Linked DNA regions of Oreochromis niloticus. The protein of the gene in region 2 purifies or fractionates together with the protein of the main gene of each other region. This does not show direct contact. Links are inferred from orthologs where the notes say so. Each region holds a gene or a part of one and is shown on either strand. Other genes may lie near its edges. The genes, in order: pex26 and pex1.

Region 1 (7,477 bases), on a different chromosome or scaffold from region 2:
TGCAACACTTCTAAAAATGTCCTTTGGAGAGACGAGACCAAAGTGGCAATGTTTGGCTGTAATGCAGAGCACCATGTTTGTTGACAACCAGACACAGCATATCAGGACAAACACCTCATGTCATGCACAGTGGCAGAGGGGTCATGGTTTAGGCTTGTTTTGCAGCCACAGGACCTCAGCACATTGCAGTACACAAAACTTAAACTGACTATTATAACTATTGTTATAATCATTTAACAAATTTCAGATTCCTACAGTGATACACTGATTGCAACTGTTTTCTTACCCCTACTCATCATTCTAGGTACTCTGAACCAGAACAGTGAGTCACTTCCCAGACTTAAAAAAGGAAAAGAAAAAAAAAAAAAACACACATCAGACTCTTGATGATTCATGTGTTGCTTTGAGATGGACAAACAAAGGATGTATTAGTGAGGAGCTGGGGAGAATTTATGGGAAGCTGTGTCATGTGAGCTGAAGAGTCTGCAGCTTAAAAAAAAAGAAGCTATTTTCCTGGAATGAGGACGCTTTAAATGTTTTATAGATCTGACGTGAATATCATCCATGTTGTCTTACAAACAGTCCTTAGAGAATTCATTTAAAATGATAGACCTAGCATATTCAGTCCTCTACAGTCCTTTGCTCTGAGTGACTGCCTGATAATAGGGTGCAAACATGGCGTTCCACATCTGTTTGAGCAGCTGCAGAAGTTTCGAAATCCACATGAACGCAGACGGGAGAGCTGCAGGTAAAAAAAGCACAACAGAAACGCATTTACAGTCACTTTTATTTTAACTTCTAAAAGATGATGATGTACCAGTAGAACTAAGGAACATTTCACCCAACCTGGATCCATCCGAAAAAAGAGCATGTAGAGGAGGATGGCAGTCAGAAAGATTCTCCGGAAAGGGAATGAGCCAGAACCAATCATCAGGAGTTTTCGGTATAAAAACCTGATCACAGCCTCAAGTTTATGGACTAAAGTACCTGCAGAACAAAAGCAAAATCACAAACAGTTAACAGTTTCAGTCTTTTTTAGGCCGCTTGGCGTAATGCATCTCATAAGGGTTTAGGCTGAAGTGTCAGACCTTGGGATGAGACAGGATGTTCAGTGACGTCAGAGCTTCCACTCATCCTGGGATTTAGAGGAGGGTCTTGATTTTGTCGCTCTTTTTCTTCTATGATATCCAGCGCTGTCTGTCTGTGTTCTTCTGTGAAGGCGCTGCTAAAAACCTCGCCTCTGATCAGCTCCCGAGCCTCGTCTGCCTCTCTCAGCGGCACAAGGACATGCAGCAGGTACAGCTCTGCGACGGTCCTGAAGCTAGTCGCCCTGCTGTTGGACGGGTAGTGTAACCAGGCTCTGGTCACCTCCTGCATTACAGCAGGCTCACCCACCTTGGAGTAAAGAAGTATACTGCCAAAATGAGACACAAAATCACATTAGTAAGAATTTTATTGAATTTTTTAAAGAAAAAAAAATCCTAAATAGTTAATGCAATACTTTTCTTAACCCCTTATGTTAAAGCTTAAAGTCTACATGTGAGTCATATCTTGATCGTCTGACTTAAAATCCACTGTGTGATCATGTATATCTCTCAATTCTTTGTAAAACACAAACAAACACATCACCCCCTTTAGCAGAAATAAATTATTTTGGCTGTCCTGCACTCTTGTCCTTCAGTCTTTAATTCTGAAGGCACCACACATGTCATCATCAGTCCCAGAAGTCAGAGGTTAAAATAGGAAAGAGTTTCTAAGTATTGGCACAGTATCTGGGAACCTTGGCTCCAAATTTATGGATATCAGGGTGTGATAAATGTCTGTTTCGTTACTAGAAAAGGTCACTTTTATGTAGGATTTTTTTTGAGTTTATCACCCATTTCCAGTCGTTGTCCAAATATTTAAAAAAGCCAACCATTTTTCACTGGACCTACCCACTGACATAGTAGATTTGGGATTACAGTCTCCAATTTTGCCTGCTGCAGAGCTTTGGAGGGTATACATTTTGGACTTCACAGTTTTTCCTACAGATAAAGACCTCTTCCATAGCCATTCAGACCTCATCAAAGCAATTGAGTAATAAATAAAAGTTCACTTTTTCTTACACTTTGTACAACAGTGTGGGCTTTCACAAATGTGACCTCACTAGGTAAAAAAAATAATTAAAAAAAAATATGGCTCATCAAGTCAAAACTTCTAGTTTTATATTTATGGGACAGTCTGGGCAATGAGCTAGTGGAACTTGCTCTGTCATTTTACACATTTATTAATTTAAGCCTAAATAATTGTGATAACAGATGTCTTTTATTTACTACAAAAACATTTCTTTATCAAAAAAGGCTGAAGTCATTAATATAAGGTTTGATTATAACAGCACTCATAACAAATAATTAAATTTTATTTTCATTTTTAATTCATGATTAAGTTAATGGCGGATTAAATGTGCTGATTGAAAAAACATGTCTTGGAGAATTTGCATATTTGAACCCTAATACGATTTGTATTTTATACTTTATTTCATATTGTGTCCACCTGCCCAAAGGCTGGGGATCAATAGATCAGTGTCTAATAACAATAACAACAACAATAATAATAATAATAATGATAATGATAATGAAACTCTTTCCTCACCACATCTGCATGATCTTCGCTGGTATTTTCTCCTGCTCATACTGTTGCAGGACCCAGCAGAGGACATCACGCCACTGATTGAGCTCAGCCAGAGCCTGAATCCCTAAGATGCAGAAACCAGCCTTGAGCTCTGCACATCTGCAGGAACATTAAAGACGTTTGTGTTATAACACAAACATCCAAGCTTCCAGTTACACATGTGCGTGAAGCTTCAGGACCCTCACCTGCTGTCCTCGGGCTCCAGGCCATCGAGACTCTCCAGACCTCTGAGACATGTGTCAAAAGCCGCTTGGAAGTCTCTGTGCACCATCATTTGTTCTGCAGCCGACTCCAGCGTGTTGAACATCTGGGTCACAGCAGCAGAGAGCGGAGGGCTGGCGGCCTGGAAGCTGTTCATGACTCCCGGATGAACTTAAAACAAACCCAACAAACACTCAAAGGGTTTAAAGCACTTTAGCTTGCAGCTAAGCACGAAATTTTCCACAACGGTTTGTTTACCTTCCGTTTAGCTTCCTGGTATTAGTCCACTGTCCAATCAGAAGCCACAGTCTTCAGAATGTCCGAGGCAGCCAATCATATTGCAGCTCTTTCCAAAGCACGTGATTCATTTTTTCCCCAAGCTTCTAAACACGTGTGCGGAGTAGAAGAGTGTGTTGTTCACACAGTTTAAGCGTCAAGAAGCTCATCTGCTGCTTCTGTGGGAAGTAAGTCAGACTTGTATGTCATATAGTGGATTAATGATTACACCTGTATGAGTTTAATGAGGGAACGAGGCTATTTTTATGTGTTTTTAAGACTGGTGCCTCATTAGGAGTTGGGTAGCTAACTTGCTAGGCTTATTGTGACGGCCAGTATCGTGTAACTAAACGGAATTAACAGCATTTTACCATTTCTTTTTGGAGGGGGGTGGATGATGATGATGATGATGATGTTGATGATGTTAGTGCTGTAAATGTTCAACAGACCAAACGTTAAAGTTTATTACCGAAGCTGCTCATTCCCGTTTTGTTGAGGTTTAACAGCTCAGTGGATTCGCTAATCCTAACTTGCCTATAAAGTCCTTAGGTTTACGTTATTAATCATGGAAGGGAAATTGTAGTACTGCACGCGTCGGCCACTTTGTAAGGTACATCTGTTTACGATTCAGCCAGTCACGCGGCAGCAACTCGGTGGATTTAGTGAAATGTGAAAGAAAGGTGATGTAGGTGAGTTTGAATGCGGCATAGTTGTTGGTCTGAGTGTTTAAGAAGATGCTGATCTGCTGGGATTTTTTTAATATTTTTAATATCAGTGTTGGGTACTAGAGACCAGCTCAATGTTTATAGAGGTGTAGAAGAAGACAGTCTGAATGCGTGATCAGTTTTATTTAGACTTCTCTCCCAGGTTTATTTAACTTTATTAGTTAGTTTGTAAAGATGTTGCACAGTTTATTTTCATTGTTTTTTTGTTTTGTTAGTAGTATTACTAAAAAAACGTTATAAATGGATTTTTTTCATTCTACCTACACAAATAGGTGTCATATTTAAATGATATACATCGTCTTGACGTTCCTGAAAGTAAATCATAGATTAATTAAAATCCAAACATCCTCCTGAATCCTGGGCTTCAGCTCAGGTAGTGTGGAAGAAATCGGCAGTCATTGGCGAGACATGTCGCCTCAGACCATCCATTTGTCTTCACCGCTTGTTTTTACTGTTGCGTGGTGTATGGATACATGTGAAAGTCCTAAAAATTCGTGAACCCAAGTTTGCTTGACTGGTGATTTGTTAATGTGTTCGCAGCATCTTTAAAATGGCAAAAAGCCTTCGGAGTAAATGGAAGCGAAAGATGCGGGCAGAGAAGAGGAAGAAGAACGCTCCAAAGGAGCTGAATCGTCTGAAACAAGCTCTGACCCTTGATAAGAAAGGAGAAGTCGTCATGACTGACATGCAGGAGATCGCCACAGTGGTGCCAGCTGAGAAGATAAAGAAGCAGGCCGACGTTAACATGGAGGAGGCAGAACCTGATGGTAAGACAGTGAGCACCACAGTCAGCAGCCTTAATAGTTGTTGTTTTGATTTTTTGGGGGGGTTTTTTGTTTTTTTAAATTTCGAGGTGATGTCACACATTTTTCTGTGCCACATGTATCGTTTGCAAACATGAGGAAACCGCTTGTGAGCATGTTGAAGCCGTCCTCACTGCTGTGTGTCTGTGTTTCAGATGGGAAGATGGACATGGACAGCAAGCGCAACAAGAAAACTCTTCTGGATGAACATGGACAGTATCCGGCGTGGATGAGCCAGCGGCAGGCCAAGAAAATGAGGGGCAAACGATTGGGAAAGAAAGGTGGCAAGGGCAAGAAGAAGAAGAATGTTGCCTGGTAAACCACCAAACGGGAAGACCGTCATTTTAGCTATAAGACTCTGGAAGCTGAAACACAGCATCCTTTTGTGATAAGTGTTGTGTTTCTTAATTAAATTTCATTGTGTCTGGTGGATTTGAAGATTCCCGGGCTTTGCCACAGAGCCTGAGATCGTACAAAAGTTCACTGCAGAAACTGGTTTGTTCTCATGGAACAGCAAAACCCTCTCTGACTTGAGATCAGCGCACGGAAAACGTGTGTGTAGTGCGTCTGACTGCAGAAATGTGAGTGGTGCACGTGTATTCTCTGCCGCAAGTTAAGTCTCTAAACTCCCATAAAAAAATCTGTCCTATGATTTGTTCTGTTCATTTTCTTGACATCATGCAACTCCTGGAGGTGTGTCAAAAAAACAGAATTATTAGTATTTTAATATGATTTATAATTTCAATTGTTGTTTGTCATAACTTTAATTCATTATGCACATTCTTTACAATTACAGAACAGTGCAAAAGTGCATGGTGGATGCAGATGTGATGGTGCCGCTTTTATCGTGTACTTGTCCGGTTTCCTCTTTTTATGGACACACTGCATGCACAACATGCCAAGATATGCCGACAATCACCTCGTTGGTGCAAAACTCCTATTTCAAGCCCCTCACACTGTGTTATCTTTGGTGTTTTTCATACATTCAACTAAAGAAATGACAATAAATGATGTTTTTGGTGACAGACTAGTAAACACAACTTAAAATTAGTTCATTGCTAAGTTGTCTGTTATGTGTATACACATATCTTGAGTTAGGTGGGGGGGGGTTTTACGCTTGAATGATTCATAGGTCAGTGTTAAGCGTTTCAACAATCAAACAAATATTCCTCTGAAATGGTCGGGTACAATGACTGGGCTGAAAATGAGTTTAAAAAAAAGCAGCCGAAGTCAAGCACTTTTAAAAAAATTACAAGAAGGTCCGGCTCGTACAATATATTGAAAAGGAAAACGTTAACATTTCTTAAAATGTGCATCATAGGCTATGTCTATCATCTGGTGATTTATTTTTGCTATATCTGTGCAGCAGTGGCTGCTATGGAGGTATATCATAAAAGGCCAGACCTGTGTCTCCCCAGTTATAGCTCTGTTTCACCTGTCAGGTAACTGCCTAAACCGCTGCACAATAAAGTAACCTGTTTAATGCCGGTGCTTGGCCATAGTTAACGTGATACTGGCCTAATCTTTTTGCGAGGGTTTTCTACTTTTACTGTTTAGGGTTAGACAAAATGTTTTATTATCAATGTTGGCTTCTTATAATTTAATTTTGTAAACATGGGTAGAATAATGAAACGCATGTTCTCCAGCCATTATGGTTTGTGGCTGTGCATAGAGAAGATGACTTGGCCTGCATAGCTTTGAAGCTACTGTTTCACAGTAGAATACATATTAAGGATTTTCCTTCCCACACTTCATAATGCCTCCCTTTTTTTGTAATACTAACATAAACATGGTGTTATACTGATGAACATGCAACGTTTAAGTGCGCAAGAAATCATGCATAGCCCGCTGCAGAGTCGTTACATGTTTAAGGATTAATTATCACCTCACTTATCACTGTGTCCAAACACCAAGATGGCGATGGCTAAAATGATCAGCTGGTGCTCCACAAAACAGTGTTTTTAGGTCAGTGTAACCGCATCAGAGGAAAGACAAAACACAGGTTGCCAGGAGGATTTTATTAGAATAGCAGAGCCATTTCAGGTCATGACTGTGATTACATTGGTAAATAAAAATCCAGTGAAAGAAATGAAGAATAAGGTCATATACCCTCAGTTCCTTGCAGAGGTGTACATGTTTGCTTCTGATCAGGATTGGCCTGATGCTTTTCCAGTCGGCACATTCAAAGCGAAATATTACACAAATCAACTGATTTAAAAAATTTGCTCTGATTTGATTGTTAAATACAAATTCCTCCCTCTGTTCAACAATATTGAAGTTTGTTTAAGTGAAGCTTGTGCAAAAATAGACTTTGGGAGCGTGTTGCTCACTCGATCAGCTGAACGTAAGCAGCCGGGAACAGACCGGTACGTCCGTGACACTGTCCCTTCCACCAGCCCTCATCAATCATCTCTATGTTGTGGATTATGTCGTCTGGATTGAAGGAGATCTCGTCATCGGCCTCTGTGTGAAAAAAGAAAAGCAAAGGATTTATCCTCACATTTAAGCACTTGTGTCACCGCGTCAAAGGCCAAAGGAACACCTGTGCTCACGATCCCCTTTCAGTGTGTAAACAAGGCAAACCAAAGTAGCCCAGATCAGCTATTCCACAATGAGTACTGAATGTGTAGGTGTGACATTTATATGTGCACAAGGTCACATTTATCATGAAACATAGAAAATGGAGAGTCTTACCTCCCTGATAGTCATAAATTGCAATTGCCTTCTGGCCACATGTCAGGTCTTCATAGTCGTTATCGTCAGCTGGGAGATAAAATATGCGAGATTAATGATCAGTAGCCA
Region 2 (8,016 bases):
CAGGCTGAAGAGAAAAATGTCAAAAAAAATCAGATGGACAGAAAGGAAAGAAGCTGAACAGATTTTCTGCAATTCTGATCAAATTATATGTCCTTGTACTTCATTTACATCCGACACTGTAACGCAGATGTACATTCCAGCACTCACCAGTGGATTTAGGGGTTGTAGGCAAATAGTAGAAGCTACTTTGATAGCTGATTTCACTGACTTAATTCTTACTGTTGAATGGGCAGGGATATTCAGCCTGCTGGCCAGAGGCTCTGGAATCTAAAAAATGAAAGATACAAAAATTTTAACCAAAACAGAAAGAACTAGGGCACTGCGGTATAGCTAAAATACTGTTTATAAACTATATATTCTCCTCTTCAGACACCATACTCACCCATACTCTTCCACTGTGAATCTCTCCCTTGCTTCTTTCCTTGCATCCAAACAGCTCGGTACAATGGCACACTGCCCTAACCACCATGGCCTCCTCTTCCTTCACCTCCTCTCCTTCAGGTGTAGCAGTCTCCTTAGTAACTCTTGGCTTCTTCTTTTTCTCCATTGCCTGCTTGGTTCTGTCCCTCATTTCTTTGGGGGATGGGACTTTGGAGAGAAGGCCATATGTAATTGAGGAGTGACCTTCACTCAGCCTGGCATTGAAACTGTGGCTCCAAGGAAAGATGTGAATAGCATTAGTTGCAACGTGGCTTATAGTGCTGAGAGAGTGGGGAGGTGAACCGCACACTCTGTACAGAGAGTCCGTAAGGAGAGCGGGGATTTCAGGTAAAGGCGGTTGTTCCTTAACTGGGTCATAAGCGCCCTTTATCATGTGATGAAAAAGGCTTTTCAGGTCTGCTATGCCACCCCACTGGTGGCTGTTAGAGGTGGAGGAGGTACTTTCTGATGATGGTCCTGAAGGGGAGGAGAAATCCATGTTTGGCTGTCTGTGAAAACTTTCTGAGTTTGGGTTGGCTTTTAGTTGAGAATGTGTGTGGGTGCCAGTTTCTGCGCGGATCTTCGGGGACACAACAAGTTCTGTGAACTGCTCCAGGCGACCGTAGGGCACACGTGGAGAAAGTGAAGCTGTGCAGAATTTAAAAAAAATTAAACTGTATTATATAAGTCAAACATTTAAAAATGAAGTTGAGCAGGCAAACCATTATAACTGCAATATTTCTGTGTAACATGTTATTTGATAAACAACATATAACAGAATAATTGTATCAAAACTGACCTATTCGGATAAAGATTACCGTGTGGTTGTCCACCCACACAGGAAACACGGCATCTTGGAAAACTACTCTGATCTGATCCAGTAGTTGCAGCTCCAGTGCAGAACTGTGGAGCTCCTGGCGATGTCAGTCACACAAAAGTGATATATTAATACTTCTTAAGAGTGCTTTAAAAAGGAGAAGTCACCTTGTAGTTATTAGAGTGTGTAAAATAGTGCAAATTGTATGAAGACAAGTTTCACACACTGTATGTAACTAAATTACCCACCAGGATTTCCCAGTCATCAGCTGATACAGGCTCCACAAACACCCGATCCAATGATGAGACCTGATGACATGGCCTTAAGAAGCCCTGAGGGAAAACAAGCCAGTAAACCAAACAACTAGTAAGTCCAAAATTAGCTTCTTCTGTAAATACAGCGAAGAACAGATTCCTCACGGAGGGACTCTACCTGCTCTCCATCTGTCAGGCCCTGCTTCTCTCCTAGCTGCCGACACAGCTCCACTTTGTGGCTGTCCAGGCTAGAGCTGGCTCTGTTTTGAGTCCAGGTGAGGAACACTGGAGGCCCATGACCACAGGACAACTCCAGAGGCTGGTTCTGAAAAAGACCGTAAATGGGTTGACTGTGAATGCCACTGTATACAAAAGTATTCTAAAGTCATTGCCAAGTTGCATCCCATGCAACTTGGCAATGACCCCAAATTAGAGCAGCAAATCTACAACAGAGTGGCTGTAAAGGAAAGGAATCAGTGTGTTGCAATGGCCCAGTCAAAGTCCAGACCTCAGCCTGATTGAAATGCAGGGTCTAAAGAGAGCTGTGCATAAAAAAATTCATGCAAACACTGTGAAGTAGAGTGGGACAAAGTTTCTCCACAACACTGCGAGACACTAATAAAGACATAAATAAAATGGTTACTTCAATTTAGTGCTGCTAAAGGTGGTTGTACCAACTTTACTGAATCAAGGGGTGTACTTTGTTTTTCACATGACTGCATGTTTGCTGAAGCACCTTTTGTTTACCCAGACTATACCATGACCATCATCCTTGCTTGCAACCATGCTTGAGAAAACAAATCCTCCTCACTCAATCCATTTTACACAGTTTAGACTAATAATGACAGGGTTAACCCAGTTCTGAATCCTTTGTAATTAAAGGTCAAACTCAAGGAGAGAAAGCCACGAAACAGGAATTCCTGTCAGCCAAAAAAGTGCAAATATAAACAGAAAGCTCTCATCAGAAAACCACTGTTCATTCATAACAGCGAACAGGACACAAGCTAGAAAAGTCATTTAAAAAATACCCTTAGACCCCGGATTCATTTCTAACACAGTCCTTTGCCTCCACCAAGTGAAACCGTAAAGGAACTGCTACGAAAACAGCTCCACCGAGAAGGAAACAAATACTGAAATACCAATTGCTAACTACCCTCTCTCTCCATATGCTGAAGTATTGTGTTTGACTCAGCTCCTCTTCTATCTATATTCAGAGCATGTTTCCAGCCGGGCCGAAGTGGAGTGAATGGAGTCATGAAAAACTGATCTTTCAAATTCATTTGGTCTAAAGAGCAGCCTGACGCGAGGCTGAAGTCACATTTTATTTTGTAATGTGAATAACTGTCAAAGGGTCTCGAAAATTAATTTACAGCAGCATTAATTTTGTTAAAAAATAAAAGAATAGAACAACACACAGAACGGGCCAACATTTTAGCTAAAAATGGTTTAAGTCAACAAAGCTTCTACTAATTTTACCTAAACGATAGTGCTAGGTGGTTAGCTAGGCTATCTTACCTCGTTCAGGGAAAGCTGTGATATTAGCTTCAAGGGAAGGTGTAAAAAGCAGTTTTTTGCGTTGTTAAAAGTGACCGTTACGGGTTGAATGCCCTGATTGCTAAACATGATTTTCACATAGTTTTCTATTTCGCGTTCAACGCGTCAAGCAAGCTGCACCGCTAACATCAAGTGTGTGACAAACTCATAGTCGATCGATGTGCTCTGTGTGGGCCAGGCCAGACCAGAGTAGCCGATATTCGGTTGAACGCATTTCAGAATAAGACATCCAACGACGCCATGCTTTGAATGAATCCTATTCAACATGAAAATGAACCTTTATTTTGAAATGCATCAAGTGAAAAGTTCATTTCCACAAACATGGCGGCTCCCGTCAACAACAGCTCTGGCTGTTGGAGAGTCCCGGAGGTTTACAAACATCACGAACAGCGGAGAGTGTGCATTTCTCGACCAAAATATAGGGAAGGAAGAAAAGCCAAAGCAGTTAAGGTAAGAAGACGCTTCTGTTTAGAAATATTTGACCAAAAGAGCGTATCTTAAGGTGTGAGACACCCCCTGCTACGTGGGAACGCCACTTACAGTGTTGTTAAAAAACATCTGCTCCCGGATTTTATGGACTCCAGTGAACCACAGTGAGAGCCTTGACCACATCTAGATGATAAATATAACCACTATTCGCAGTTTTCACATGAGCATTTTTCCATCAGTGTACCGCAGTCAAGTGTTGCATTATTTGCAGGTTTACACCATAAATTTAGAGAGTCGTTACCTGATGGTCCAAGGAGTCCCAGCGATTGGGGTTATGACTGAGTTGATTCAGCTGTGTGCCCTTTATGGAGCTGTGGAGGAGTACAGGCCCCTGGACGAGTATCCTGCCGAGGAGTTCACAGAGGTCTACCTCGTAAAGTTCCAAAAACTCACAAGTGCCAGGTACAAGATGTAACTTAGACTGTTCATTATGCCTAACTTGCAAAGTCTGAAGGACCTTCTGAATAATTTGGTTTTGTTTCAGAGCAGCAAAGCGACGCATGGATGAGAAAAGTTTCTATGGTGGTGTGCTGCATGTGTGCTACGTCCCCGAATACGAGACTGTGGAAGACACCAGGCTCAAGCTGCAGGACCGGAGGAGCTATGTCATCCGGGCTGCTCAGAAGAGAGGTATAATTTTATATCTATAGGTTATATTTTGCCTCACAAAAACGACCACTCCAATGAGAAACATCTTAGTTCCTCATTAGTCCAAGCAAACAATTTCCACCATTTCCCTTTTGCACTTTTATTTTAATTTGACTCGGATCTTTTTGAATGATGGGGATTTCTAAACTTTTTTTTCTGTCTCATTTTATTATTGCAAAGTGAGAGAAAGGGAACAGAAAGAGGACACACAAGAGGAGCCTTCTTCATCAGAAACAACTACCATGTCAGATGACAACATCCTCACACACAAACAGACCTCTGGAAATGACAATACAAGGGAGACTTCAAACGTCAGCCACTATTTAGGCTTTCCTCCACTGCCATTACCTCCCCAAAAACATCATTACCATAGGCCTAAAAGTCAACATTTACCGACAGAGGATAAAATGGGGACTTTACACAATACCTGTGCTGGCACATTCGAGCAGCGAGAAGGGAGTTCAAGGAGCAAACAGACCTTATTGAGCAGACAGGCAGCACATCAGGCTGCGGCAGTCAGATTTCTTCCTCGGACCACACACTTGGAGAAACGGAAACGCAAAATGGAAGAGGCTGAGGAGCCCTCCAGTACTGTTTCTGGGCAGAATGAGCCTTTGATTGGACCAAAACTACCAGAACCATCCAAACTGGACATGGAGGATGAGTCACTGAACACAACTGTCAGCCTGATCAGGAACACAATGAAGCAGGTACATGTGATTATATTGTTTTGGTTGTAGTTAAGGACAAAATAATATTTTCACTATGATCTAAATCAGTTAAACCAGTTTCATCGTCTCTCCTAGGTGACATCGAGTCCAGACATCAAACCAGTGGAGAAGAAGGTCAAACCACGCCGTCGGATTTGATAGAGCAGGACTTTTTATTTATTTATTTTTTATTAAAAAATTTTGCATCACAGGACCATCTGCCATTGAGGTTAATATTAAAGATGTTTAGGCTGGGTATGGAGTTATGTGATTTGTTTATTGTTCCATTTGTTCCTGAAATACGCGTCCCTCAAACATCTCGATTCTCTGAAAAAATAAGAAAAGCAGACTGTAAGATTGAGAATTTTTGATGGGGAAATTTAAAGAGCTTAGAAGCTTCTCATTACAGATTACCCTGAAGTCAGGAAGGCAGGTTCCAAAAGCTTCCAGCAATAGGTTTTCATCTTTCACAGCCTTTTCAAAATCTTCAAAAGACAATTTGCCATCATGGTCATAGTCCTGTGGGAGGAAGCACCGTTGGCAGAGCTGGTAAACTATTTACAGACCTAAGAATTTTTTAAATAGTGTTTTGGGTTTGTTTTTTGTTTTTAAATCATGTGTAAACAGTTATATCTGTGCAGCAAACAGCTCACCATCTTCTTCAGTATGATCTCCACCAGGTCTTTGATTCCTTCGTCAGGGTCCTCCTCATTGGGTTGTCTGATGAGCCTGCCCTTCAGCATATGAAGCATCTCCTCTCTAGAGATGGCGTTGTCACCATTCAGGTCGTACACAGTGAAGCAGTCTGAGCCATGCCAAACACAGGGATTTTTTTAGGTAGATAAAGCTACATGTGTGAAGGTGTGAGAGTGAGCTTAAGCAAAAAAAAGTAAGATTGAGAAGTTACATTTTATTTTTTCATCCAAGGTCCCCCGAAGAAAGACAGACAGTCCGTCGATCCACTCTTTCATGCTGACAACGCTGTCGTTGTCTTTGTCAAAGGTCCTGAAGACTGAATGACAGCCAGTTACACTCACAACATGTCTTGGATTTAATTATAGATTTCAATTGTTCGTACTGAAGAAATTGCTCATTCCCAACTCTGTACTCCTGGACAAGCGTACTGAAGGATTTAATTTAATCATTCTGAAAGAGGTGGTGCAAGTGAGAATTCTGGGTTGTGCCAAATTGGAGAGTACTTACAGGGTGATAGTGATGATTTGGAGATTTTGCTTACTTCACCATTTTATTGACATTTTACTATTTCAAAAAACAATCTTGGCTCTGTTTGAATTTTATGGCACCAACATATCTCAAGACAGCTGAGAGGGCAACAGTAGGGTGCAAAACTAAGTGGTACTAAAAAAAAAAAAAACGATGGAGGAAGATTTTGCAACTTTAGGTTAATTGGCAGAAGGTCACTGACATGAATGGATTTTTTTTTTTTTTAAAGCATCTTGGAGAAGCAGAGTTCCTCAAAAGTAAAGATGGGCCAAGGTTTGCCAATCTGCAAAAAACTGCATCTACAGTTTATGCAAATTCAAAATGATCAAATTTACATTTTACAGAGCGTCCCACCTTTTTTTTTTTTTTTTGGAAATGGGTTTATAAATAATATAATTATAAATAACCGTAAACTGAATACCTCTACCCGTCATCCTGTCATCAGTCAGTCCAAAGATGCTGTGGAGTGTGCTTATGAACTTCCCTCGGTCCAGACCGTGCACAGCTCTGCCAGAGTTGTTCTGCTCCGCCATAAGCACGTTAAACTCTCGGATAAGGCACTCAACCTCTTTTTTACTGACTATAAACAGAAACATAAAACAATGGCGTACACTTCATCTGCTCTAACAATACTTAGACGGCAGTGTGTATTTTCATACCTGCTAAGTAAAACAATGAACCGTAAAGCTTAGCATGGACTGCACTAAACTACCGCTATGACAAAGCTGGCTTAGTTTATCCCGGGTTTATTGATTTGAGAAGTTTAACTGTCATACTCACAGTGCTCCACTTGTTTCGAAATGTTTTCAGCGAGCGTCTGTGTCGTCCTTTTGTTCATAGCAGATATTTTTGACATTTTCGATGGGGCCAAACTCAGCTACAGTCCACTCACAGCGAAGTTGATGTACTGTCGCCATGGCTACCGCGAAACGTTCAGGGTCGCGTGTGTTTAAGAACCTCGACGGTTCACTACAGGTGGAAACACCGTAACTACACATCATTTTCTACTTGAATTTTTAGTGCAGTAACACAAACGAAAATATGTCCCAACACTGACTGTCCTGTATCTGTTCCACTAGAATGACAATGAACCGCTGGCTGACCAAAAACCCTTTCTTTAGGGCTATTTATTGTCCTTCAGGTCAACACGTTCATTTATATACTGAACAGGTACACATGAAACATGTTAAAATAGTTTTTTAACCCATCATCAGACCAAAATCACACATCAGAAAGAGGGCGGCTATATACTGTTTATGTTTATTATACAGTTTTGGGGAAAGAAATGTTTACTTTTAGTCACTTCAGGAACCTAATTAAAGCTTTGCTAAAATTTATATTTACCATCTAAGGTATCTTGGTGTTTGAGAAAAAGAAAAGAAAATGTGGGTGTTATGGAAGAATAGTGCAATAGTAATAGTCAGATTCATCAAAGCTACTAGTCCAAATATATATATTTCATATATGCAATCCGAATTAAGTAAAATTTAAATGCATATATCTCATAATATTAATCATTCATTTAACGTATTATAGCCCAATCTTCTTTTAAAAATGACTTTCTCATATAAAATGTACTTGTTTTTCCAGATTGTAGCATGCTTGCAAGGCATTTTCCAATATAGAGTGCCCCATTCCTGATGGGGTTTTTTTTTTTTTTTGGGTCACATTTAAGTTTGAGACAAAGCAGCAAGGCAGCTAGAGATGATTGTTTGATGGTCATTGGATGAGTCGTTAATGTGTTCTTGGAGTAATTTTGGAGGGCCGGCCACTCCTGGCAAGATTTAACATTGTTTTCTCAGTTTGTTGATAATGGCTGGAGTCCCAAAGCACTAGAAATGGCTTTGTTGCCCTTTCCAGTCTGACAGATGTCAGCGACTTTGTTTCCCAGCAGTTTCTT

Evidence for each region.
Region 1: the proteins of pex1 (region 2) and pex26 purify together in Homo sapiens (affinity purification with western blotting; 3 studies listed by BioGRID and IntAct, with this or other methods). This does not show direct contact. The link is inferred for Oreochromis niloticus from reciprocal best matches to the Homo sapiens genes PEX1 and PEX26.

What each region holds. Positions count from the first base shown.
Region 1 is NC_031981.2:14,339,953-14,347,429, forward strand, and holds the start of pex26 (peroxisome assembly protein 26), read right to left. Parts: upstream 3,197-7,477; 5' UTR 3,130-3,196; exon of another isoform or gene 3,043-3,129; 5' UTR 3,029-3,042; coding exon 2,856-3,028; intron 2,770-2,855; coding exon 2,632-2,769; intron 1,415-2,631; coding exon 1,089-1,414; intron 988-1,088; coding exon 847-987; intron 743-846; coding exon 630-742; 3' UTR 1-629. Other genes in the region: llph (protein LLP homolog), read left to right, coding at 4,423-4,639, 4,831-4,994; hcls1 (src substrate protein p85-like), read right to left, coding at 7,002-7,138, 7,370-7,438. UniProt on the Homo sapiens protein: Peroxisomal docking factor that anchors PEX1 and PEX6 to peroxisome membranes. PEX26 is therefore required for the formation of the PEX1-PEX6 AAA ATPase complex, a complex that mediates the extraction of the PEX5 receptor from peroxisomal membrane.
Region 2 is NC_031985.2:22,584,640-22,592,655, reverse strand, and holds the start of pex1 (peroxisomal ATPase PEX1), read right to left. Parts: upstream 3,247-8,016; 5' UTR 3,115-3,246; coding exon 3,007-3,114; intron 1,817-3,006; coding exon 1,670-1,816; intron 1,570-1,669; coding exon 1,486-1,569; intron 1,335-1,485; coding exon 1,220-1,334; intron 1,069-1,219; coding exon 383-1,068; intron 268-382; coding exon 148-267; intron 5-147; coding exon 1-4. Other genes in the region: rbm48 (RNA-binding protein 48), read left to right, coding at 3,367-3,495, 3,746-3,936, 4,019-4,164, 4,363-4,892, 4,989-5,051; clxn (calaxin), read right to left, coding at 5,169-5,219, 5,307-5,411, 5,546-5,697, 5,800-5,904, 6,538-6,696, 6,897-6,972. UniProt on the Homo sapiens protein: Component of the PEX1-PEX6 AAA ATPase complex, a protein dislocase complex that mediates the ATP-dependent extraction of the PEX5 receptor from peroxisomal membranes, an essential step for PEX5 recycling.